Caenorhabditis elegans: one gene and its partners. The protein of the gene in region 2 interacts with the protein of the main gene of each other region in a pairwise test. Each region holds a gene or a part of one and is shown on either strand. Other genes may lie near its edges.

Region 1 (8,422 bases), on a different chromosome or scaffold from region 2:
CACGGATTGCTCGCCAATCTGTCAAAAGCAGCCAAACTGGTGTCACAACGGAGGAAGATGTTTGGATACTCCCGGCTATCCAGGTAAATGCAAGTGTTTGCCAAGATTCGCCGGGCCTAGATGTGATGTTCCCGTCCAGTGTGATGACTATTGCACGAACAACTCGAAATGCACAATCACAAATGGAACACATTTCGAATGTGATTGTAAGCCAGGTTTCAAGGGGCTCCGATGTGAGCAGGAGACCAAATGTAGTGAGTGCTCCAATGAAGCCAAATGCATCAAAAAACCATCTGGAACTGTAATTTGCCAATGTCCACAAGGCCTTGGTGGCGAGTACTGCGAGAAGATCACTGCCACATCCTGCCATCAACTGGAATGCAAAAATGGAGGATATTGCCTGAAACCCGACCCAAGTGCCAATAGAACTTCACCAACATGCCTATGTTCTCCAGGTTTCAAGGGCCTACTGTGCAGCTCGAATGCCTGTGAAAACTTTTGTCTTCACGATGGAAATTGTACGCTGGATGAGTACTTTGAGCCACAATGTGAATGCTATCAAGCGTTTATTGGAGATCGGTGCCAATATCGCATTCATCAACATGCTGTAATATTCAGTGATGATGACAGTGGTTGGATAAGTTAGTTTTTTTTTTATAATTTGAAATATTTGAAGATGCAGTAGCGTCAGTGGGAATTTAGTCTAACTGTGTACACAAAAAAATTTGGAAAATTGCCTAAATTTTCCAAAAAAATTGCCTTTTTTGAGAAATGGGGTTATTCAACTGTGTCGGAAAATGAAAAAGTGTATTTAAATACACTTTTTAATTTTCCGACACTACTGGAATAACCCCATAATTAATGCAGGTTCAAACCTCTACAAAGTTAAAATGGTACAATTGAAGCGCAATTGAAGTATAAAAATCATTGAAAAAAATTTCAACTTCCAAATTATAATAGGTGAAAACTGAGTAATTGCCATTTTTTGATTCTATGTGAAAAATTTCAAAAAAGTATTTGGACATTTTCGCACTATAAAACCGGTTTTAAACTATGCAAGAGTGCACATTTATTTAAACTGGTCTCGTCGCGCTCTGCATTTATTAAGCCCAGCTTTGTGTACGCGCCTTTAAGATTTGCGTGAATTCAAGTAACATTCAGATAACAATTCAAATAACAAGGAAATTATATTAAATGCAACAAGTCGTTAGAACACAAATTGGCCTGCATTTAACTTACCAAAAAAAATGCCACATGTCAAATTTTCAGAATCATTCGTCGTCCTTGCCATTATCCTTGTCACCATAGTCATCGTTGTTGGAATTTTTGCAAATCGTTCCAACAGGTAAGACATTATTTCTTTAAACTTTCTCCTCATAACTATTTTCTACAGATTCGCAGTTTTCCGTCAATTCCGTCATAATCCACTTCAAAATCAAGGTGCACCTGTCGATCAGTTCAGTAATCCTGCATATTTGATCGATGAAGGCGGCATCGAACTAGTCACCCAAAATACGAGTCTTGTCTCATCTCACGATGTAAGCCTTTTTTCTTTATTTCAGCAAGTTTTAGGACATTTAAATAAAAAACATTTCAGCGAGGATCGTTCAACAATCCGGTTTTTGAACAAGAAATGGTTCCGATCTACAATGATACCGTCGAGAATCATGAACTTTTGCCGAATAATAGATCTTCGAATTAACTTTCTGAAACTCAATTCCTATATTTTCACTTGCCACAGCTTTCTTCTCTATTTATATTCCTTATTCCCTTAACAAACTGATAAAAAAAAACTCATTTTCAATATCATTTTCTCTTGTCGACAGGGTCCTTGTTTTGTTGTAACTATTTTCTATTTCTTGTCCTCGACGATTCTGTTCTGTTTCTTTTTAAGCTGGTATAACCAATTAAGTTTTGAATTCTTAAACCGTAGTTGACTGTTAAAACATGTTCTAACTGGGTCTGTAGGCACGCGACATGAGCTTCATAGACCCGACGAATCGGGGGGATTGCCGGCGGCGGGGGACCCCAATCGGGGGGATTGGCCACGCCCATATAGCCGTGCGGTAATTCAAATTTCGCAACTTCCGCACGGTTTCAAAAAACAAAAGTTGAGAGATGTTAGGGATTGAAAGACTTAGAAAAAAATTAACTGTGCGGAGGAAATTTGAATTTCCGCACGGTTCTATGGGCGTGGCAATCCCCCCGATCCGGATCCCCCGCCGCCAGCAATCCCCCCGATTCGCCGGGTCTCTTTCATATCCACTTCGACAGTCAAGAACCATATACCCAAAAGATCTTCCAATCTGTAAATTCAATTCCTAATTTAACAAAACAAAAAATCCATTTTTAATTTCGGTGTTGAATTCGTAAACATTAGTTGACAGTTAAAATGCATTTTATACAGTATCATGCAATATTTCACAGAATGTTCTAAATAAAAATAATAATAGTGAGTGGAGGTTTAGTATACATGATAATTAGAATTCGAAGACGCTCTTCGCTGGTGAAAGGATCCCGTCGACAGTCGCCACCTTGTTTGGCATCTCTCCAACGCAATCGGGTGCCTCACTGAAAAATAAAACATTTTTAGAAAGAGAATTAATTCAATTCGAATAATTTTTTAAATATGTAAAATAAAACATACCGTCTGTAGTTTGGTCGTTCCGGTCTTCCAACCATTCGAACAATGTCTGGATCTGCTCTTGGAGACAGCAAACGATAGCCAGGAATTGGAGCAGCAAGATCATCAAGGAACATGCGTTCGGATCGTTCTTGGAGCCATCTTTCATAATCGACATCCAACTCCTTTGCACTTCCAATGACGTCACGGAAGAAGAATGCAACAAGACGATGCACAAAGATGTACTGCATGGGAGTCTCGATGCTGAATGGACGGCGCTGACGAAGAAATTGGACAGCTCGTTGTACTGGGTACTGAAAATGTGTTTAATTGAATTGATTTCACCATTTCCAACTTAAAAAGTCACTAAATTCTGATACAAACCTTGTAAGTTGGCCCTCGGAGCAAACTGCAAATGGCAATCTCGGCAGCAACAAGACAAGCCGCTCTAGAAACTCCCAAATGATCATGGATAACGACTGGCTTCGACGCGTTGCGAAGTAAACGAAGAATATTTAATGGAGAGTACATATTCGATGAATTGTTCACGTCTCCTTGCCAATGTTCCACGTGACGTTCCTCGCGATCCGGTCCAATGAGACGAAGATGAGTGACACGGAACAATGGGTCTGGAGCTTGATAGACACCAAAGTTCTCGATTCGAAGTCCACCAGGAACAGTAACGGCGGGATCCGACGGAGATTTTGGCCAGTAATATTCACATCTTTCCGGTTCCTTTCTGCTGGTTAGCATCACAATGTATGGAACTTCCTCCTGCCAAACCATTCTCCAAAAATCATCAACGGTGTTCTTCATTGGAGCTTGAGTCATGATGAACTCATTGAACAGCGGCTTTCCAGAAATCCGATTTGCGTGAATGAAATCTCCGAGATACTGACCGCGTGGGAATTGGAGAGCGATTCGAGTGGAATCCTTGCAGTGAACACGTGGATTACGGCACTTTTCCTGGTTGTTGTCTGAAGCTGAGTGAGTGAATGGGATGTGGTTGACCGAGTTCTCGAGGATTTCAAAGCGTCGCTCCATTCCTCCGATGATGGTTGACAGATACTTCGCTTTTCTCGCTGCTCCAAACATCCGCTTTCCGATTCGAATGTTGTTGTAGACTGAAAAAAAGTTAATTAATTAAGGAAAATAATAATTTATTTTCTTACACTGTCCAGCAACACGAACTCGGTCTCTGTCAGCAAGAACATTTGCCTTGAAAGCTTGAACTCGCTTTTGCATCGTAGAAGCGTCGAGTTCACGAAGTAGGTATTCAGCCATTGTCTCATTCTTGACGGCTTCTGGATGAATATCCGAAATCCATGTGCTGGTTTGATCATGTGAAAGAAGGCGCATCAGAAGCACCTGATCTCTTGCGGATTTCAGATCGATGCGATGATTTGTGAAGAAAGTTGAGTTGATTCCGAACTTCTCACAGATGCTTTTCAACGGCATCACCCATCCTTGACCGTTCACTGGACGCTTTGGCTTCTTTCCATTCTCATCCCGACGCATGTAGATGTCTGTGTATCGACCCTTCCATTTCGTGTCGAACTTTGAAGAGAAAAGCAGCTCTTGAGTGATCTCGGTGTCATCATAACTTGAACGAATCAAATTAGCCATTGCTTCCTTTGTCACCTTCTTATTGCATGGAGTAATCGATCCAACACGGGATTCTGCAGAAGCTGCAATTTTGTAGGCTGCATGAAGAGAGAAAGCTCCTGGCGATTGATGATTTTCTAGGACAGCATTCTTCATCTCCAATGCTTTCCGAGTCTTCATGACCAACGCCGGCTCCACTTGCATCGCAGTTCGGGCGGCAAACACTTTCATCCGAACATTGTTGAAGTGTCCCTTTGCCATCTCAATGTCGGCTCCATGCCCGGAATCCTCGCGTCTTCCTTCGTCCTTTGGTTTCTCGGAGACAAGACAGTCGAGAGCTTTGGATTTCCGCAATTTCGATGGAGCTGCATAAGTAGACGGAGCACCACGTGGGACTTCAATCGCATCCTCTTCCGAGTTTCCGTTCAGACGCTCCTTGGATCTTCTGCAACATAGAATATTAATTTTCTAATACTTAAGAATCTCAAAATACCTGTCCTTCTGAGCGAGCTTCTTCACTTTCTTCCGGAAACTCTTGCTGAGCGTGCTTTCGCTGTTGAATCTGGCTCTCATGCAGCTCACTCCCTTTTGTTGAGGATAATCCACCATCATATCCATGTTATCGGTGCTATCCGCCGAGGAGTCGTCGGTGTTTCCGGAGCAGAAGCTTTGAAGCGACGTCGCACGCTTCCGGCCAGCTTGTGAGCGCATCGCGTTGATTTGCTCGCGGAACATCACTTCGCTGTTCAACGCCATACCTGGAAAATTAATGAGCTTAAGCTAATAATTATTTAAGAGCAGAAGAGACAGAAAAAAAGATTTTAGGAGGAAACGAAATGGAAATTAGTCGAGTATGCGGGCGATTCCATAAAATAACTGCGAAAAACACTATTAAAGCACCTAAACGAACAAAAACCGATTTTCTAGGAGAAAAAAGAAAGAAAAATTTCGGATGCGCATACCAGAAAACAATTTCGCTGAGCGGAAAAATACAAAATTTCGCGCTCTTCCAAAATCGTAGAGCAAATCTGTGAAGATCAAAGGTACGGTAAAAGATAATGTGTGCACTTGCGTACTTTTTTCGCGTACCGTATCTCGCACTATTTACAACGGAAAACGCAAATTTAATTACATAAAATTAAATATATTATTTAAAAATTGTTTATAAACATTAAATATACGGAAAATCCGATTATGCTCATGGTGAGGATCGAAGCGGTGACTTTCAAAAAATGAGAACAACAAAGGTACGGTAACAAATAATGTGTGCACTTTTGCGTCAATTGACATGCAATGTACGCGAAACTTTTCGAATTGATTTTTCTTTCGAAATTTTTTGTTTTCTTTGAATCTTATGCGTTTTTTTGTGTTATTTAATTGCATATTTTCACTTTTTTCATAATAAAATTTATTCAATCAAGTTTCATGGTCCTCCTTTCCAAGATAACGGAGTTGGTTCGACTTCCATCTGTTCTTCAGGCTTCACGGGGCCACGAATCATTTTCTTCGAAAAATGAAGAGTTCGATCAGATCTTTCCATATTATTTCTTGAAACTTCCTCATCACACTTCACATCTTCTTCCTTTCCAGCCTTCTCCATTGACGTTTTCTTGATGGTTTGTGGCGGAGTGATTTCTTTCTTGTTCGGTTTTTCCGCTGATTTTGCTTTTTCCTTTTTGCCGCCAACATCTTTATTTTTCTTGAAATCTGGTTTCATTTCAACTGCTACAGATTCTTTTGAAATTTGAAATTTCGAAGTTTTCTTTCGATTAACATTGAAGTCCTCTGCGCTGTTGGGGTTCTTCTCGACTTCTTTTTGCATTGAAATCGTTTTTGACACAGTTGAATAGTTCGTGCTGACTCTGAATGGCTTATTTCGTGTTTATAAAACATTTTCGAGGATCTTACGGAGTGGAAGTTTTGCTGACATCGGTTTTGTCAGCCAAATCTGCCGAAGTGATGGTTTTTGTAGTGATTGAAGAGGTTTTCGGCTTTTTCTCCTCCACTTTTGAAGCTTGGCTCGTTTTAGAGCACGAAATAAACATAACTGAAATACGGTTATGCGCTTTTGAATCTAAAATTGCCGGAATACCTGTCCATACTACGAAAAGAATTAATTCAGCAAAAATGCATGCCATTTTTATAATTAATTACTAGAAATAATTGAACCTTCGATTTGCACTGGCCTTTTTTTTAATTCGGTTTATAAGTTACACAACACGTTTGAATTTCCGCAATTTTGGATTTTATTTTTAGTTTTCAAATTTTATTCCTTTTCCATTTCTCATTTTGTATTCACTGAACAATTTCTTTCTTTCCGACCTGGTAATTTCTAAAATGTTTTCTACTTGTTGTCAATAGAGCGTCGTTGCATTCCTCACTCATACTCTCTCACTCTCTCGAACGCTTTTTTTTTTTTTCATTGCAAATGTTTCATTCGAACATTGATTTTCGGTTGTTTCCTTTCTTTTTTTTCGATTTTTATAGGTTTTTAGGAGAAAATCTGATAATTTCTTGCCATTTCAAACAACCTGTAAGCTATAATTCAAAGCGCCGATATATTTGTTACTTGATTTCGAGAAAAACGCAGAAAATGTGAATTTTTCTATATTTTCTTGCCGTGTTCAGGTCCTTTTTCACTCAACAGTCACTGCATGGAATCGATTATTGATATATTTCAACATAGAGAGAGTGCAGGCAATGTGGAAGATGAAGATTAGATAAACGGAGTACCTTTTCTACATTTCCCGCTCATTCTTCGTCTATTCGTATCTTAATCTCACGTAAAATTAATATTAATATTCTCTTTTTTCCATATAATTTTTTTTAACTAGATATCAAATTTGGTGATTCTGCAAATCATATTTTGGAAAAGGACCCAAAAATTGCTAATATCTGGAATTTCGCCCCACTTTTCCTGATCGCAGCTGCTGAAATACAGTTTTTATGAGATTTTCACTTTTTATCGCATTTTCAGTTATTTATCTCGCGTTTATTCATTAATTTTGGCATATTAAACCAAAATTAGGTGCATATCGAATTAAAATGTGACTAGATCAATAAAAACTCGAGATAAACCGCGAAAAATTGCAAAAATGTGTTCCAGCTTCCATGACAAGGACGAATTAGCTTTGGTTTTTTATTTTTATTTTGTCCCGCCGTAAAACATTTCCGATTTTTTTTCGAGAAATCTGTCTGTTGAAGCGAAAGCCCACGGACTCTACAGATTCTTATGGGAAAACGGCTATTAATTATTCAGTTTATGTACTTCTTTTTATTTCTCTTTGCTCCTCAATTTGAACCTATTCACCTAAAAAGTGCTAACACAGATCGATAATAATTTATTATAAACATTCGATTGTCTGGTGGACGGTGGGTCATTATATTGCTGCTCTATATCATCATTCTTACTCTCACAGTCATTTTTATGTGAGTTATCTTCTTGGTCACAAACACTTACCGTAACCCTTTCGGCAGACGTATATTGCTTCAAATTTACTCACTCTGCGGCTTTTTGAACATTGAGCATGTTTTTTGAGTGCTCTTCAGTGGTTAAAGTCATTGAGATTTTTTTCTGACAAATTCTTCGTAAATTTCGAAAATTTTTGAAATTTATTCGTTATAATAATGTACTTTTCAATTTTTGTTTCAATATTCTTGATTTTTTCGAGCGAGAAGTGTAAGTGCCAAAATCTATAAGGTTTTCTTTGCCCGGAATCATTAGATAACTCTTTATTGTATCTTCTGAGGCCACATTCGATTCGGCATGTATATCTGCTTATTGACAACCTCACAGAGCTCGCCGTGGTCACTTTGCTTTGAAAGACGATCAAATGGCCTAAAGGAGTACCCAACAGTAAAAATGTTACTTTAATCTAAATTGATTTCCCCGAAAAATTCCCCATTAAGTTGCACTTTTTCAGAGACTATTTCCACAATTCCTCAAAACATGTGAGCATTATATTTCTTCAAACACATTCCTCTTTTCGTATCTCAGTTGAGAGTGCGTCCTCCTTGATATGTACGACAAAAAAAAATGTAATCCCCATGGTTACCAATTCGAGTTTTATGAATCACGTATATCTGCCAAGGGTACATCTTAATTTTCGACAGCTTTGACACGGAAAAGTTGAAAAAATTTGGGATTTTAGGCAAATTGCCGGTTTGCCGATCTGCCGGAAGTTTTGATTTTCG
Region 2 (7,604 bases):
TTCATTATTTTTAACTCAAGAAAAATCAATTTTTCGAATTTTTTCGTTTGAAAAAAGTACTAAAACTACAGTAACTGTACAGTTCAAAACGGAATTTTCAATTCAGTGGCAATTTCCAAAGTTCCAGAGAAACTTACCCTGAACTTTTTGATTTTATTAACCTTTATTGCCTCCCCCGCCACCCAGTTTATTGGCTCAATAATCTATTACGTTTCCATCTTTTTTATTTAACGATTATGCACATGCACACAGGTTTCAGCAGCACTTTGAAGATAACAAACACATGCTTTTTGCCCCTCCTTTTTCCCATTTTCTCTTCTTCTTGTTCTTTTGTGCCTATTGTTACTTCCAGATGTTACTTCTACTCCCGCTTCTTCTATTTCCATCAGCCACATTGGCTCTTTATGATTGTTTTAGTGGATTTGTGGGACGAATGCAGGTGAGTTTTTAACTCCAAAGAATGAAAAATTCGAAAAAAAATTCTGGAAGAGGGCGAATATAATTTACAATATTTATATTTATTTTTTGGCTGTTTCCCAATCGGTGAGGCATGGTTTGATGGGAAATGTAACAAAAATTGCAAAGCCTTATCAAAAAAAACATGGTGCATCTGACATGACCTATGCTTCTCGCGCAGGAATTCTTTTGATTTTCAAAAATCTTTAGAAAAATAATCATATAATATTGCCAAAAAAAAAAGCGGTTTCTGAAATCAATGTGCAATCGCGCTCTTCGGCCAAATTTAAAACTCTCCGCCCCTAATCGTTGGGTCTCGTTAGGTATTGATGGCTATTTGTGGTTCTAATTTTGTTTTAATTAATTTTTTTGTGGAAATTAATAAAATAAAATTCCTAGTCAAATGAAAAATTTTTAAACATAGTGCCGATATAAAAATCATTAAAACCAACGATAAAAGTTACAAGCATAAAAAGGAAATAATCGAAAACGTTTGATTTTACGGTTTCTCCTGCCAAATACCTAACGAGACCCAACGATTGGGAGCGTTCAGCCGTGGAGCATGCTTGCATCTCATTTTCAAAACGCGCATTTTTCTGCGTCCCTATAATAAATAACATTCCAGGCATCAGTTGAAGAAAATCATTTCCACATAAATGACACCGCAATGTGCTCGGCAATGTATTGTATAAAAGTGATTCTACATTCAGCTCTAGACGACGGTGAGCTCTTTTTCGAATTTGTGCGTCAAATTTGATGTATGGAACACTTTACTTCATTTGCCAAACAATAATACCAAGTTTCATTTTCAGATGGAATTTTCCAGCAAGGAATCTCCTCTCGATGTGCCTATACCGGAGGTGATCGTCAAGTTTGCCAAAAGAGCGAAGGAAAATGTCAGGATATTTCATTTTATGATGGAATGAAAGGAAATGTGAGTGGAGCATAATGGGTCTCGCCACGCAGACAACAAGTTACTGTAGCTCGTGTCGATTTACGGGCCAATATTTTTCAAATTAAATCCATAAATCGACACGAGTTACAGTAGCCTGTTGTCCGCGTGGCGAGACCTATGACATCTACAGTAATCCCTATACATATTTTACTTGCAGTTTTCATTCTGCTGCTGTAAAGAAAACAAGTGCAACGTGGCCACTCAAACCGAATTAAACTCGATATACTCAATGAATTCAAGATCTGCACGAAAAACCAATGGCTCATATGGTTACCCTCTTATTATTTTAAATGTTATTTCAGTTTTTGCTCTAGCGTTAATATTTGGATTTTAGATAAAACAAATAAAAAATAAAAATTTACAATAATTCATTTTCGATTCTAGTGATATGGGAGTGAGATGCATGCATGTAAATACAATTCAGTTAATGGAAAGTGGGTTAAATTTAAAATGATCATAATACAAGAACAATAGAAATTAATAAGCCGGTGTGATACGGCTAAACTCCTGGATCATAGCATTATACTTTTGAATGAATCCGATCGATTTGAAGCGAAGGCCTAGCGCGGCTCGATGGTACCACTTGTTGACATAAGGTTCGATCCAACGAAGAATGACACGGTAAATGAAGAGATAGAGAAGAACTGAAGAGACGGAGAGACGACGTTGCAGACGAACGAAGACGCATGATTGAAGAATTAGTGATTTGGTGATTGGAGATCCACGGATAAAATGCATCAAAGCAGTCTCAATGGAAACTAGAGTTCCTGACTTGGAGCATCCATCAATGCACTGAACAATTGTAGGTGTGGAGAGTTGACGAGCTCTGTAAATTGAAATTTGATTGGTGTTGAATAGATAAAAAAACCCACTTTCTCAAAACGCGGAATGGCCAATGCACATCTCCCAAATATTGCCAATCCCACTGCCAGTGCTCCAAAAAGAGTTCTTCATCGAATTCAGCATCCAAAAGATTTCCGCCAACTTTTTGAACTTTCAATTTAGTGATGGTGAACAATGGATCTGCCTTCGAGTCAACCTTCATACAAGTAATATGGAATGATCCAAAACGAAGAGATTCATTCTCAGCACGAGGCCAATAGTACGGACAGTGATTACGATTCGCCGAGTCGAGTGGACCAAGAGTTGAAGAATCAACTGCTGAGTTGAGCATCACGATGAATTGGCACTTCTCTTGGAAGACCATACGCCAGAAATCTTCTTGAGTGTTCTTCAATGGAGCCTGTGCACAGATGAATGTGTTCAGTAGTGGTCCTCCTTTGACATAGTTTGCATGAATGAAATCAGTTGTTCCACTGAAAATTTGGATTTTGATTGAATTTTTTTCAACTTTCAACTTTGCTCACTATGTACTCTTGGCTGTATACCCTTCTTCCTGCAAAAACTCGTGTTCATCGGAGAACATTCCATTTCTCAGTTCATTTCGATCATCAAGCCGGCCTAAACCATCATTCAGCTTGACCCTCGAAAACTCTGCACAAGGTACCATTTTACTGCGAGCTTTCGTCAGGTAATTCGCGTTGAATGCAGTTTGCAATGATTCCTCATCTGACAACTCATTGCTCACAAACATTCGATCGAGCCGGTTGAACTCCTGCACAAACTCTGTGAGGTGGCAACTGAACTTCCCCGGCTCAACAAGCAGTGACCATTTCACTTTGGAGGACATCTCTTCAGAAAACTTGGCGATTCGAGCAGCCACCATGGAGACATGCTCCGGATTCAATTGACCCCAATTGCAAAGCGGATCGCTCTGGAAATATTTTAATATTTTTCTAGTAAATTTGAAAAATTATAAAACCATCTTATTCTGATAAAACTCCGCCGCTGCTCTCTGAAGCACTGAGCTGCAATCAGACATCGAAGGGACAAGCCGATCACGGAGCCAACCTGCCATTGAGCTTCTGAAAAATTAATTCATTTTGCTCGATTTATTCTACGAAATTATTTTTACCCATATCTATGAGCTAGCTCATCATGATTAATTGTTGGATATTCCTTCGCGTTCATCAACTTCTCGACAAGCAAAATTCTCGTCTCCTCATCACAAATGATCCCATCGACACGGAAAAGCTTCTGGGCGATGAATGTTTGCAGTTCTTCGAGCTCATGCTGCTCAACACGCTCCATTAACAGCTCTTCTTCCGATTTCTGTCCACCGAACCATCCACTTTTCTTTTCCGGCTGAAAATTATTTATACTGATTTTTTAAAGAATTTAATTACTCACAGCTTTTGGTGTCAGATGACCTTTTCGTCGATTGGCTGAGTGGACCCACTTCTCGTTGATTACCGCATCTTTGAACTCAATACTGTCGGATCGAGCCAAATTCGAGAGCGGAAGATGACTGTCAGAGGTGCGCATTCTGGAAAAATGAAAAAAATTCTTTAAAAAATCGATTAAACTATAAAAACGAGATTTTTTCGAGGAAAAAACAAGAAAAATGCGTTTTTCCATCATTAAAACAAAGAAAATAATTTTAAAAATTAGCGGGGAGATGAATCGTGGTGAAACCTGTCACTTGCATTTGTCTACGCGCCTTCTGTGGATACGGTAGCGCACATAGTTGTATGCCTGCCTTTTTCATATTTGTTTATTCGTTAGACTAAACTGAATTGAAAACAACTTAAAAATGTAAATTTATTTCAAAAATTAAGATTTAATATCAGAAGTGCTATCGTAAACAATTTCCACAGGGGCATCATTGTCTGTGTTGTTCGCCGGATTTCGCAACAGCTTGCTCTTCTCACTCTCCCGTTTTCTGATATTGGCTTTTCTTCGAATAAAGAACAAAACCACGAGAATAACCAGTGCAACAACTGCCACAAAAACCACCACGACGTAGACGATGACAGTGATGAACAAGAGCTTCTGAAAATAAAAAATTGGAAAAAAAATCTAATTTTTGTTAATAAATTAAAAAATCCTACCTCTCGAACACCAGTTTCTCCGCCAAGAGATTTGAAAGTAGAATCTCCAAAACCATAAGCTGAAGCAAAAAACAGCGAATTCAAGGCAAAATCTAACGAAGATTTTTTAAAACCGCCTTTTTCAGATTTCAAGGGAAGAATAATATCAGTGGCGTGTCCTCGAATAAGTACCGCCCATTGATTCATCGGGGTTTTGATTAGATTAAGCTGATTCAACGCGTCACATCGTGTCAGAGCCTCGGAAAACTGAAAATCAAACGATAATTTTGAAAAAGACGCGAAATTTTTCGATTTTTGCGCGAAAAGTACGGTAGCGGGTCTAGACACGACATTTTTTTTTATTGCAAAAGGGTGTGAGCCTTTAAAGAGTACTGTACCTTTAACAATTTCCGCAACAACCAAAGTTTGAAACTACAGTACTCTTTAAAGGCGCACACCCGTTTGTTTTAACACAAATAATGTCGTGTCGAGAACTGGCGCAAAACTCACCTTCAATTGCCTTGTAATAGTAGCCATATAGTTTCTCTGTTTCGTTTTATCCTCAATTTTTGATGTATAAGCTTCCATTTTACAAATTGATGAGAGCTCCCGCTTTCCTTGAATTTCCTCCAAAGTTACATCCTTTACAGTACCCGATAGTTGACATTTTATCATTTCAGCCACCGACTGGAAATAAGAATTTTTTGTACAAATTTTTTTAAAATTTGAGTTACCTTAAAATCTGGCTCATAAAAAACATGAAAGAGCCTTGAATGAAAAGCTCGTTTATCTTCAGAGTAGGTCAACACAAACGTGGAATGCTGTTGACACGTGGAAGTCAATGAGAAGAGAATTGAAAGGAATATTGATACAACAATTGCACATTGCTTCATTTTTTAATTTCGAAAAAAAATAAACAGCAACAAATCTTGATGTGAAAGTTGAGAAATGAATTAATTTAGTTTAAAGAAAAAAAGCTAAAATGACTAGTAGCGTCCGTGAGCACGTTTTTAAAAATTATTTAAAAATTTATTTCTAAAAGTGAAGTAAAATAATTTTTACTGTTTTATTCGGACATTATTGCCCATTTGTTAAATCGAATTTTTGATTTTTTTAAATGGTGGAAAAAAATCGGAGAGGAAAAATTATGACCCTCTGAAAATCCTGAAACTATTTTTTTCTGCGACCCATTTTGAAAACTCCAAAAGAAAAAAGGAATTTATGCAAATGAATTTCGTGTTTTCTTTTTCTCAGAAACACATATGACCTTCTTCACCGAATTCGTCATTCTGGTCATCTGATCGTATTTATTTGTTCCAAAAAGTAGTTCAACAACATCCTCAAACCGTCTGACCATTGTTGTAGCCAACCAACATAACATTTTTTTTGACTTGAAAACTGGTTAGCTTCCTAAAAATTACTACGTCATCATTATTTCTGTTGCTGCTTTCGTAGCTTTCAGTAAAATGTTTTTCAAAGTGTGCTTCTTCTCAAGAAATCTGTAAACTATTAAATAATTTGAAATAGATAATGTAGGATTACTGTAGTTTCGGAAAACATAAGTTTCAGTTTTTTTTAAAGAGATAGGGGATCGGAATACTGTAGTAGTACTCTAGGGGTACTATAAGACTGCTGTAGCATTACCGTAGTTTTAGAAACACTCAGTATTTGCATTTGCAAGGGATATTGAGTTAAGTGGCTACAGGATAGAAGTGGTCGACGCACCTGTAGTTTCGGAAAACATAAGTTTCAGTTTTTTTAAAGAGATAGGGGATCGGAATACTGTAGTAGTACTCTAGGGGTACTATAAGACTGCTGTAGCATTACCGTAGTTTTAGAAACACTCAGTATTTGCATTTGCAAGGGATATTGAGTTAAGTGGCTACAGGATAGAAGTGGTCGACGCACCTAATTAGTGCTGTAAGGGTACTGTAGTAGTACTGTAGATGTACTGTGGGATTACTGTAGTTTTACTGTAGGGCTGAAGGGGTACTGTAGGAGTACTGTAGTTTTAGAAAAATGAATTTCTGTATTTTAAAGGGGTATTGGGATTGGGTTAGTAAGTAGTACTGAAGTGGTACTGTAGATAAAAATTCATTTAATATTGGAATGAATCTTTCTTTTTTTTTAATCCGTAGACTTACCATAAAACAAACTTCACAATTGTTCCAAAACCATGTAGTTTTGTATTTTTCTCTCCCAAAATCCGTCAGAAATTCTATGACCGGCTACCACTACTATTTCGTCATAATGTTTCTTCTCGAAACGCCATTACATCTCCGAGAAGTCGAAACGATTTTAGTGGGTTGTTGTTCGACGAATTTTGTTTGGTTTCTTGGGGCGCCTGCGCCACGAGAGAAAGAGAGAAAGAAGGTGACGGTCACTATATTTTGTGTAAGGTCACTCAGTCATCATCAGACACACAAATTCGTAGCCAATTCCAAAACCAAAACCCGAAATGTTCTCGATTTTGTATGTTGTGGGAGTGCTGTTACAACTCATGGACCTGTTAATTTTACTAGTATTACGGTTAATTCGTATATAAAATAGAAATTGGTATTTAGGCAGTGTTTTTTTTTGAATTCAGTCTTGATTTTTTTAATCGAATTTTCATTTGAGACATTTTTTTGAAACTATTAAACAAAAAAGTCTGTTAAAATCTGCTATGCTAGAACAAAACTGCCAATTTTTAGCCAATTTTAGCAAATTCAAATGCAAAGAAAAAAATATATTATGTCCTAAAATAGGCTCCACCCAAATCTTGGCTCATATGAGAAAGTCATCTTTAAATAAAGCTGATAGTTTTTGCAACTTTTGAAATTTAATTTTTATCACTACTTGGAAAATATGCTAACAACTTTTCAGCATGCGATTATTCTCTAATTTTTTGGAATTTTGTAATTGTTTAATTCAAGGCTCCCCAGAATTAACAACTATTTTTCAATCACTCCTCTTACACAAAAACTCCTATTACATTTTGATTGATTTTTCCAATTCCTAGACACTTGAACCTCAAATACCCAAATAATCTTTTACCTCATTCAATTTCTCTTCCTTGTTTGTTTTTACAAAATTTTCTAATTTCTTCAAGTTCCCTCAAAGTCCAATTTTTTGGACAGCATTCTCAAGTTGTTTTTCTATTATAAGTTGTACTTTTTAAAATTTTCCAGTTGACTTTTTTAATGTGTTCCTAGTGATGTAACAACCAATTGAAAATTTTAAAAGTTGTGTATAGCCTGTGGATAGATGTTTTAATATTGCTT
Region 3 (8,095 bases), on a different chromosome or scaffold from region 2:
ACAAATAAAAATTGAGGTCACTGAATTAAAAATTTAAAACTTGGATTAATCATCATTGAATAAATTAACTGAACAAATGAACACCTAATTCATTTCTCATTCATTCTCACTTTCTTTCCAGCCTCCTTCCACACCTTATTAGTCATGCGAAAAGAACGAGAAGCACCGTGAAAATCGGAGAAGAGAGTGAACGTTTCGGCTAATCTATTCCTCAGTGTGGTGGCCAATTCTCTCTCTCTTTATAAATCAATTGCCATCATCAACATTTTGCCCATTTTATTAATAGGTACGATGCCTTCTGGCGGCGTCGTTTTCACTTTCGCATGGAAACACAGGCAGGAGATCGACCAACGTTTGAATGGAAATTGAGAGAGACAGAGACATAGACGGTGAAAGAAAAGGCGTGATGGTAGAGGTACAACTGGTGTCAATTAAAACTTTTCAATGGTAATAAACTACACGGGGAGGGGGTATCGAGGTGTCCGATCTTTAAAGAGTGAGAAGGAGGGATAATGGTAGAAGTTCGAAAAATATTTTTTACAAAGTAGAAATCCCGAAGATTGGGGAGCATCGGGTCCTACCGGCAGTTTTGAACGAAGGACATAAGACGAGGGGAGGCATTTCCGGGTATATGGAGGCGTTTTCAGACCCCGAGACATGTCGCCCCGCCCTCGTATGTTAACTTATTTTGCAGTGAAACAAAAAAATTATCAAAAATCTTTCCCTGACCAAGTGTAATATAATCGTTCAGACTACAGATGTTCTGATTAGAAATATGTGGTTTGGCGCCGTTCCTTAATTCGAGCACCTGCCTGTCAAGTGATTCGAATGGCAAAAAAATATCAAGGCTTAACGAAACGAGGGGCCTAAAAATTCCGGTTTAAAAATTAGAAAGAATTGTAATTTTGTGCAACGCTGAATTCAATACAACAAATGTGACAAATTGCTCATAATGCCGTCGGAAATGTGAGGGGAGGGCGAAGAGGCGAATGAGAAGCGTCTCCGTGACGCCTTGGCTGGGCGGAATTCCCACTGTAAACTTTTCGTTCACAAATTCAAAAAAATATTCACAATCTCTATGGGAATTATATTTGAAAGCCTGCCAGTTTTCCAGATACTTAAATTTTTAACTAAACTTACTAACTTTTTAACTTTTTAACTATTTTTAAATAAAATTCAACGACTTTTACTATATGCAAAACCTCACCTCGAAACATCAGGAAGACTTGGAAGTTTTTTGAAATTTTTCTTAGAAATATTCGAATCAGTCAGCGAATTCTTCATATTTGCAAAGAGGAATGAGCCCTGCTTTTGCGCGCGCGAGGAAGAGCCGCCTCTTTCCAGAAGAAAATGAAGGAATGAATGAAGGCAGGGAGCGATAAAAGAGGAGATAGAATTTGTGTTGGAAACTACATTTACAGGCGATTATTGTGTAGTATTAAGTACAAATCTCACAGCTTTGTAAGAGTTTTGGGGCTCTCGAGAAGGAGGAGGAGGAGGACTTATAAGCTTATGCAATTTGATCAAAAGTGCTAAACTTGGCTGAAATTTCAGAATCAAGCAGGTTTGTAGTTGTTTTGTAGAACTAATTTTTGCAAATATTAAAAATTTTAATTTGAAAAAGTTAGATCGTTTCGGATCAAAAAAAATTTCTCCGAAATTTGTTAGTAAGTCAAAAACTAATAATTAAAACTGAGAATTAAAAAAAATTACAGTAAACTTTTTGATTTACAACTATTATAAAACCGTAGTTTAAAAATTGCAAACTGTGACATCTCGGAGAAAAGCCAAAAAAAAAATTGCAAAAACTGTATGTTTTTACAGCTCCAACCATTTTGGCAATAAATAGGACAAGTATTTATTTTTACTGAAAAACTGGAAATTTGGTCATTCACAATAGGAAGTAATTTCTAAAACTACAGAAAGTGCTAAACAACACACAAAGCCAGCTAGCGGAGGATCGTTGCGAGTTGACCAGGTAGATCAAAAACAAAAAAAAATTGTACATACATCTCAAGAATCTGTAGATCACTGTATACAATCATAAAAGGTATGGAAAGCCTCTCCTAACGACTAATGAAAAAGGGAATCCCTGTGAGAGAGGCGAAGAACGATGAAGAATAGAAAAGACGGGTTTTTTACGAGTTGTTTCCATCATGGCCCGGCGTGTGTGTTGCCTCGGTTGGTTTGATTACGATGCCTCATTTTCCCGACCGCAAGGTCCTCCTAGTCTCCACCATACAGGTAAAGAAAACAGAAAACACTACCGAATTAGTACTTGTAATTAAAATAAAAATGTGTGTGTGTGGGGATAGATAGGGGAACGCGAGAACCTTATCTGGGGGAGGGTGGGGAAAGCGGGACTGAAGACTAACACAAGTGATACAGAGAGACAAAGATCGGAAAGATTCGGTGCGGATTTTTGATGACCAACATTTGATACGGTACTTTTGTGAGGAACGCTTTTTTTTGGAAAAAAATATCGTAGTTTTCTGAAAACTTCAGCACAAGGTTTGGCGAATTGGCAAAATTTTTTGCAAACTTTGAATTTTTCAAACAGAACCTTCACAATGTTTAAAAAAATTAAAACTGAAAATTTGTAGAAAAACCCTTTCTTGGTCAATTTCTTGATGTATGGAAATTCAGGAAAAATAGTTTTCTGCAACATTTGTATCACAACGAACAAAATAAAATTTTTGCACATTTGCTCTTAGGCTTGCGAATTTTTCTTTTAACTAAATCTAACAAGATCAAAAAGTTCCATAATTATTTCGTTCAAGTGAACAAATCTCTTGACACTTAAAAATCTCTAAAATCAACCTGTTTTCAAGAAACCATAAAATGTTCGTTTTCTGTAAATTGTCTACTTTCAAGTACAATCTATCTCATTTTTCCTCTTCTCACACACATTGAAATCGTACTTCGAAGAACAATCAGAAAACGTCTTGAAATTGGATAGGGTTAAGGGGGCAAGCACAAAAGGAGTCATTAAAGTTCCATTTTCAAAAAGTGGAGGAAAAAACTTCTGATGAGAACATCATGACGTGCAACTAAATTCTCCCTTCCCGGATATTTTCCTATCATTTTTCTTCGAAGAGAGGGTAAAGGGAGAAAAAGGCCAAGGGAACACTGATTGACTCTTTGAGCATTTTTACACTTTGTGTGTCTCGTTTAAAATGTTGTTACATTCAAAATTGTGAGAAATCGACGAGAGATAGGATTTGAAAAATTGTTCAATTGAAGCATAAGTTTCTACTGAAAAGTCGCTTAAAATTGCAAGTGGCTGAGGAAGTGATTTGATTTTTTTAAAATTTTTTTTAACCAAAAAAATACCGACCTCTACGTCTACTATAAAATATGCGTAAACTTACATGAGGTGAACACTAAAGGCCAGAGTTCAACTTAAAATAAAGGAAATCAGCAAACAGTAGGCAGGCAGGCAGGCATAAGGATATACCTACCAACAATTTAACAATTTACATTACTCCCTTTCTATTGTGACTAGACAACGGGGCCGCCTTACTCAAACGCCAATGCCAATAAACTACGTTAGCTTAGGTCTAACTGTTTTGTTTTAGAGTATGTAAGCTTCAAGGTATTCTAAAACAGCTGTTTTCAGAAAATGAATGTTTTGAAACTATTAAAGTGGGAGAAAAACAAAATTTTTAACAAAAATGTATTGAATCCTGATTAAAATTGCAAAATCAAACAGGTCTGAATCAAAAAAGAAATGATTGACTGTGAATCTAATTGTGAAATCGCTGGTATACCATTCTTGGGTACTCTTGATGACAAATACTCCCCCCACTCCTCCTTTTTATTGAAAAGAAAACACCTCTTCATTGAATGAGAAGGGTTCTCGATCTCAATTTTCATTGATTTTTTTCCTTGTTCCGCCTTTAGATTTCTATTACAATAATACATTGTGATTTTCAAAACATGTTCCAATTTCCAACTAATTAGGCCCTTTACACCAGCTTTTCAACTAATCAGGTTAAGCATAAATGGACAAAAAACATCAAAAAGTTTTCTCAAGGACCCCACAGGGTGTAAAGTTTAATGGGATCCATATGGTGGTCAATGGGGGGGGGCTTTCAAGGAAAATAAATGACCGTCTGCTGCAGGCACGACTTTTGAATATTTCTAGAAATTTCCTTAAGAACTTCAAAGTAATTCGAAATTGCAATATTTTAAACTACATACGTTTAGTGGGAAAATTGAAGAAAAAATTTGAAGAGAAAAAGAATCAAAAGCTCACTGTGAAACTGATCTTCCTTGTGCATCCAGACTCATTACACTGCGATCTCGCTGACCCTGAAATGATTTTTTTTGAATTTTAGGAGCAATTTGTTTAGAATTTTATAATCCTAGTAGAACTATAATAACTAGTAATATCAAAAATGAACATTTAAGAAATCACACAAAAGTTCAGAAAAAAGTCAATATCTTTACTTTTTCAGAGGAGAAATTTAAAAATTTTCAAACTCCATTTCAATTTGAAACTATAATTACATGCACTACTAATAGAGGTATAGCACACCCACCTGTTGTGTAACATCAATCGGTTGTTGCCCGTAACTTCGACTGTTACGTGTGAACGAGGCAAGAGCAGCCATGCTTCAACTACTCTAGACTGCTGCAAGTTTGGGAGAGAATTCCTAAAAATTTTTTGTACTTTTTAATACAATTTGTGGTAGGGGGTAATAAGAGAGTTGACGACGAGTAGAGGGTAATCGGATCAAATACATTTTGTTATCAATGGGAGAAACACCTCACCGAACGTGGGGACAAGTTGGAGCAGATAAGAAAAAGGGGCAAATGATGTTGGAAGAGTCCGTTTTTCTCCCCCTGTTTCTCTTTTACTCTCTAGGAGGAATCCACCAAATTTTTTTTTTGCAGAAACTTGTGTTGTGTTGCGGGTTTGTGGAAGAGCATATGGGAATTGGAGACATAGAGTACGGAGCAACAAACGTTTTTTGAATGGTACACCTAACGGGGTGGAGAACGATGATAAATTGATAGGCAGGCAGTGGATGCTTGGAACGCATGGAGCAAAACTTTTTAGTGAACTTGCTTTGAAAATACAATATAATATAAAAACAAAATAGCGTGAAACTTATTATTAGTGAACCGAAATACGTTAGATGCACAATGACAACAGTGATAAGAAAACGAGATAACTAGATATTTACGCACTTTTAAAGTTCTTCTCCCCATTTTTACGACTAACAATTGGCTTATCAAGAGTCACGAGAGGAGCATCAGCTGGCACCGACCAAAATGGTTTTTTTTCAACTTCCCCTTGTAAGGGAAATTTCTGAACTTTTCCAAAACTTTCTTCCCATAATCTTTGCGCATTCCAAATGTTTTCAAAGCATGCCTTATGAAAACTTAATGCTAATAGTTTTTGATGTCTGATATAAAATGCAAAAATATGGATATCATATGATCAGCGGCAGGAAATATTAAAAAGGGGAGTCTAGAAATAAACAGGCTGAAATTTAAAAAATAGAAGTTAGGGAAGGCATAGAGGATAGGGACCAAGAATGGATAAGCTCAAGCCTAAACCCAAGCCTAAACCCAAGCCCAAACCCAAGCCTAAACTCAAACTTAAACCCAAGTCTAAACTCAAAGTTAAGCCCAAGCCTAAACCTGAGGCTAAACCTGAGCCTAAACCTGAGCCTAAACCTGAACCTAAACCCAAGCCTAAACCCAAGCCTAAACCCAAGCCTAAACCCAAGCCTAAACCCAAGCTTAAACCCAAGCCTAAACCCAAACTTAAACCCAAGCCTAACCCCAAGCCTCAAGCCTAAATCCAACCCTATCTTGAACCTTAGCCTAACACCAATCATAAACAAAAGCTTAAGCCCATAGCAAATCTAAAATCCTATAGCAACCTAAACCCTAGCCTAAGATTAAACCTGAGAATTCTCTCTTATTGAAGCTTAATTGTGTACAAATAACTTATCTGGCATTGGATTCCTGATTGTGAGACGGTTAACGAAATGTGCAAAAAGTGAGAAGAATTGAAAGTAATAAAATAATTGAACAAAGGCAATTTATTTTTATTTCATACCACGTGGATGACCGTGTAAGTTTATTTTGGGTTTCACGCAAAGTTACTTTTTGAAAAATTTTCCAATTAGCATAGTATGTAGACTCGAGGAAAATTGGCATATTTGCTTGGCAAAAGCAAGCCTAAATGAAAACCAGAGCTTCTGCTAAAATTAACTAAATATGTGGTAGGCAAGCACAAAAAAACTAAACCCAAGCCTGAATCCAATCCTAAACACAAGCCTAAACCCAAGCCTTAACACAAGCCTAACAAAGCCTAAACCGGTTTTACCCTGCCTAAACCGGTTTAACCTTTCACGTAAGTGTTTAAAATTTTTTCTCCAATTTTCAAAATTGAGTTGGTCCGAGGTAAGTAGGCATATTTGCCTGCCAACGAATGACTCGTACCTACCCCCAGCGTACAACAAGGCAGGAATGTAGGCCGTATTTTTTATTAACACATGGATGACTGCGTAAGTTTATTTTATGTTTCACTTAAATAACCTTTAAAATGTGTTTCCTATTAGAAAAATGAAATTAACTCGAGGCAGGTAGGCATATTTGACTGTATCGAGCCTACGGCCTATAAATCACTAGACAAGAACGCCTGAAAACCTTAAATTCTATCACGTGTAAAACCAAAAACCAAAGAAAAAACAGCAGCCTGGTAATTAGAAATTCAAAGAAAAAAAGCAAATGGATGAGCGAGAAAGAAGAGAAAAGTGTGAAAGATTCATAGGGATATGTGATGAAGGGTGGTTCGGCGGGGCGAAGGCGTATTCCCTCAGAGTGAAAGAATGGTATAGAACAAGAAGAAGAAGAAAAAAGTGCATTCGGGGTCATAGTAAATTGGGCGTGTTTGAGCAGGGTGAGTGAGGGGAAGAGACAAGAGAAAAGGGGGTACAAAAATGACTGGTATCGACGATTATAATCGAATGAATGAGAGTGTTTGTATCTGATGGAATATCTAGGTAAAGACGGGCGGAACCAATGGCACGGCATTTACGGACGGGAAGGGCCATTCGGACGGTGCGTGATTTATTTATTAGCATGGTAAGAGAACACCGGAATGGGTGTCTTAGTGAAGACAGAAACATGTAGGTAATAGAAATTGGAATTGAAAGTTTTAAAATTATTTCACTCTTCACCGACAATTTTGAAGCCCGGGAGCTTAGTTGATCGCTCAAAAAATTTCTAAATTGCATAGCTTACAAAATGCTATTTGTTTAGATTTTTTTTTCAAATGTCAGATTTTAGATCTTAAAATATCATTATTTTGAGATTATAAAAAACGTTACAGCTATATGTTAGTAAGTTAAGTAAGAGTTTCCAAACATAATTCAAAAATTTTTTGACTTTTGATAAGTTTCGAAAGAAAACTTCCACATTTTGAAACGTCCACATTATTTCAGAGTTTAAAAACTATATTTGCATTTCCAGAAAGAAAGTTCCAAAAGTTATGCGAAAATTTCATATGAGTGAGTCACTTTTCCCATACTATAACATATTCAAAACCTAGGGAGTACAAATGGGAGAATTCAAAATTGTGGTGAGATCTAGACTGAGATCTTTTCACCTGACTCTTTCAGGTGAAAACGACTGTCTGCCTACTAAGCCTTTAAGGCAACCTATGCCTACCTCCTGCATACATGCGCGAAAACTGTAAAAGTGCACGAGAAATTTTTTGTTTACATAGAAAATGTAAACTGGATGTATACCAAGGCAGATGCGTAGGCAGGTATGCACGCCTAAACATTTTCCTAAATTTTTATAGTATCTGAATTTCAATATCAAACATTTTAAACATAAATATCATTATGTTTAGAACCAATACCGTAATCTCAAATTTTCGTCCAAAATGCCAATTTTCGGATGAACTGAGCAAATATTGTGGAAGGGGAAATGATTAGGAAAAGAGCAGCCGCCATCAGTATGTTTGGCGCGGCTTCCCTTTAAGGAATTAGTCAAAAAAGGAGAATGTTACAATGAATGAAGTTGTTCCAGTGTTCGATCCTCGACATATTCTGAAAGCAAAAAAAAG

Evidence for each region.
Region 1: the proteins of egg-3 (region 2) and egg-4 interact in a two-hybrid assay, tested with the Caenorhabditis elegans proteins (one study listed by BioGRID).
Region 3: the proteins of egg-3 (region 2) and mbk-2 interact in binary tests that used the Caenorhabditis elegans proteins (3 or more experiments, as listed by UniProt).

Annotation. Positions count from the first base shown.
Region 1 is NC_003279.8:3,928,774-3,937,195, reverse strand, and holds egg-4 (Inactive protein-tyrosine phosphatase egg-4), read right to left. Parts: upstream 4,987-8,422; 5' UTR 4,985-4,986; coding exon 4,722-4,984; intron 4,674-4,721; coding exon 3,796-4,673; intron 3,748-3,795; coding exon 3,008-3,747; intron 2,938-3,007; coding exon 2,648-2,937; intron 2,572-2,647; coding exon 2,481-2,571; 3' UTR 2,383-2,480; downstream 1-2,382. Other genes in the region: lrp-2 (EGF-like domain-containing protein), read left to right, coding at 1-641, 1,270-1,345, 1,394-1,538, 1,598-1,702; T21E3.2 (uncharacterized protein), read right to left, coding at 5,652-6,090, 6,137-6,275, 6,321-6,366. UniProt on the Caenorhabditis elegans protein: Inactive phosphatase which acts redundantly with egg-5 in the oocyte-to-zygote transition. Required for the polarization of cortical actin cytoskeleton rearrangement in the oocyte before and after fertilization.
Region 2 is NC_003280.10:10,880,645-10,888,248, forward strand, and holds egg-3 (Protein tyrosine phosphatase-like protein egg-3), read right to left. Parts: upstream 3,798-7,604; 5' UTR 3,797-3,797; coding exon 3,662-3,796; intron 3,617-3,661; coding exon 3,387-3,616; intron 3,337-3,386; coding exon 3,234-3,336; intron 3,186-3,233; coding exon 2,779-3,185; intron 2,728-2,778; coding exon 2,284-2,727; intron 2,238-2,283; coding exon 1,889-2,237; 3' UTR 1,764-1,888; downstream 1-1,763. Other genes in the region: lurp-1 (UPAR/Ly6 domain-containing protein), read left to right, coding at 284-439, 1,082-1,178, 1,269-1,390, 1,569-1,745; F44F4.3 (DUF2330 domain-containing protein), read right to left, coding at 4,085-4,303, 4,363-4,608, 4,852-5,028, 5,076-5,234. UniProt on the Caenorhabditis elegans protein: Probable pseudophosphatase required for the oocyte-to-zygote transition during which it regulates the polarized dispersal of the cortical actin cytoskeleton, the synthesis of the eggshell chitin layer and the formation of the polar bodies after meiosis I and II.
Region 3 is NC_003282.8:13,005,679-13,013,773, reverse strand, and holds the start of mbk-2 (Dual specificity tyrosine-phosphorylation-regulated kinase mbk-2), read right to left. Parts: upstream 4,617-8,095; coding exon 4,545-4,616; intron 4,315-4,544; coding exon 4,259-4,314; intron 4,138-4,258; exon of another isoform or gene 4,117-4,137; intron 1-4,116. UniProt on the Caenorhabditis elegans protein: Required for oocyte-to-zygote transition in which it phosphorylates oocyte proteins, including mei-1, oma-1, oma-2, mex-5, and mex-6, modifying their activity and/or stability following meiosis.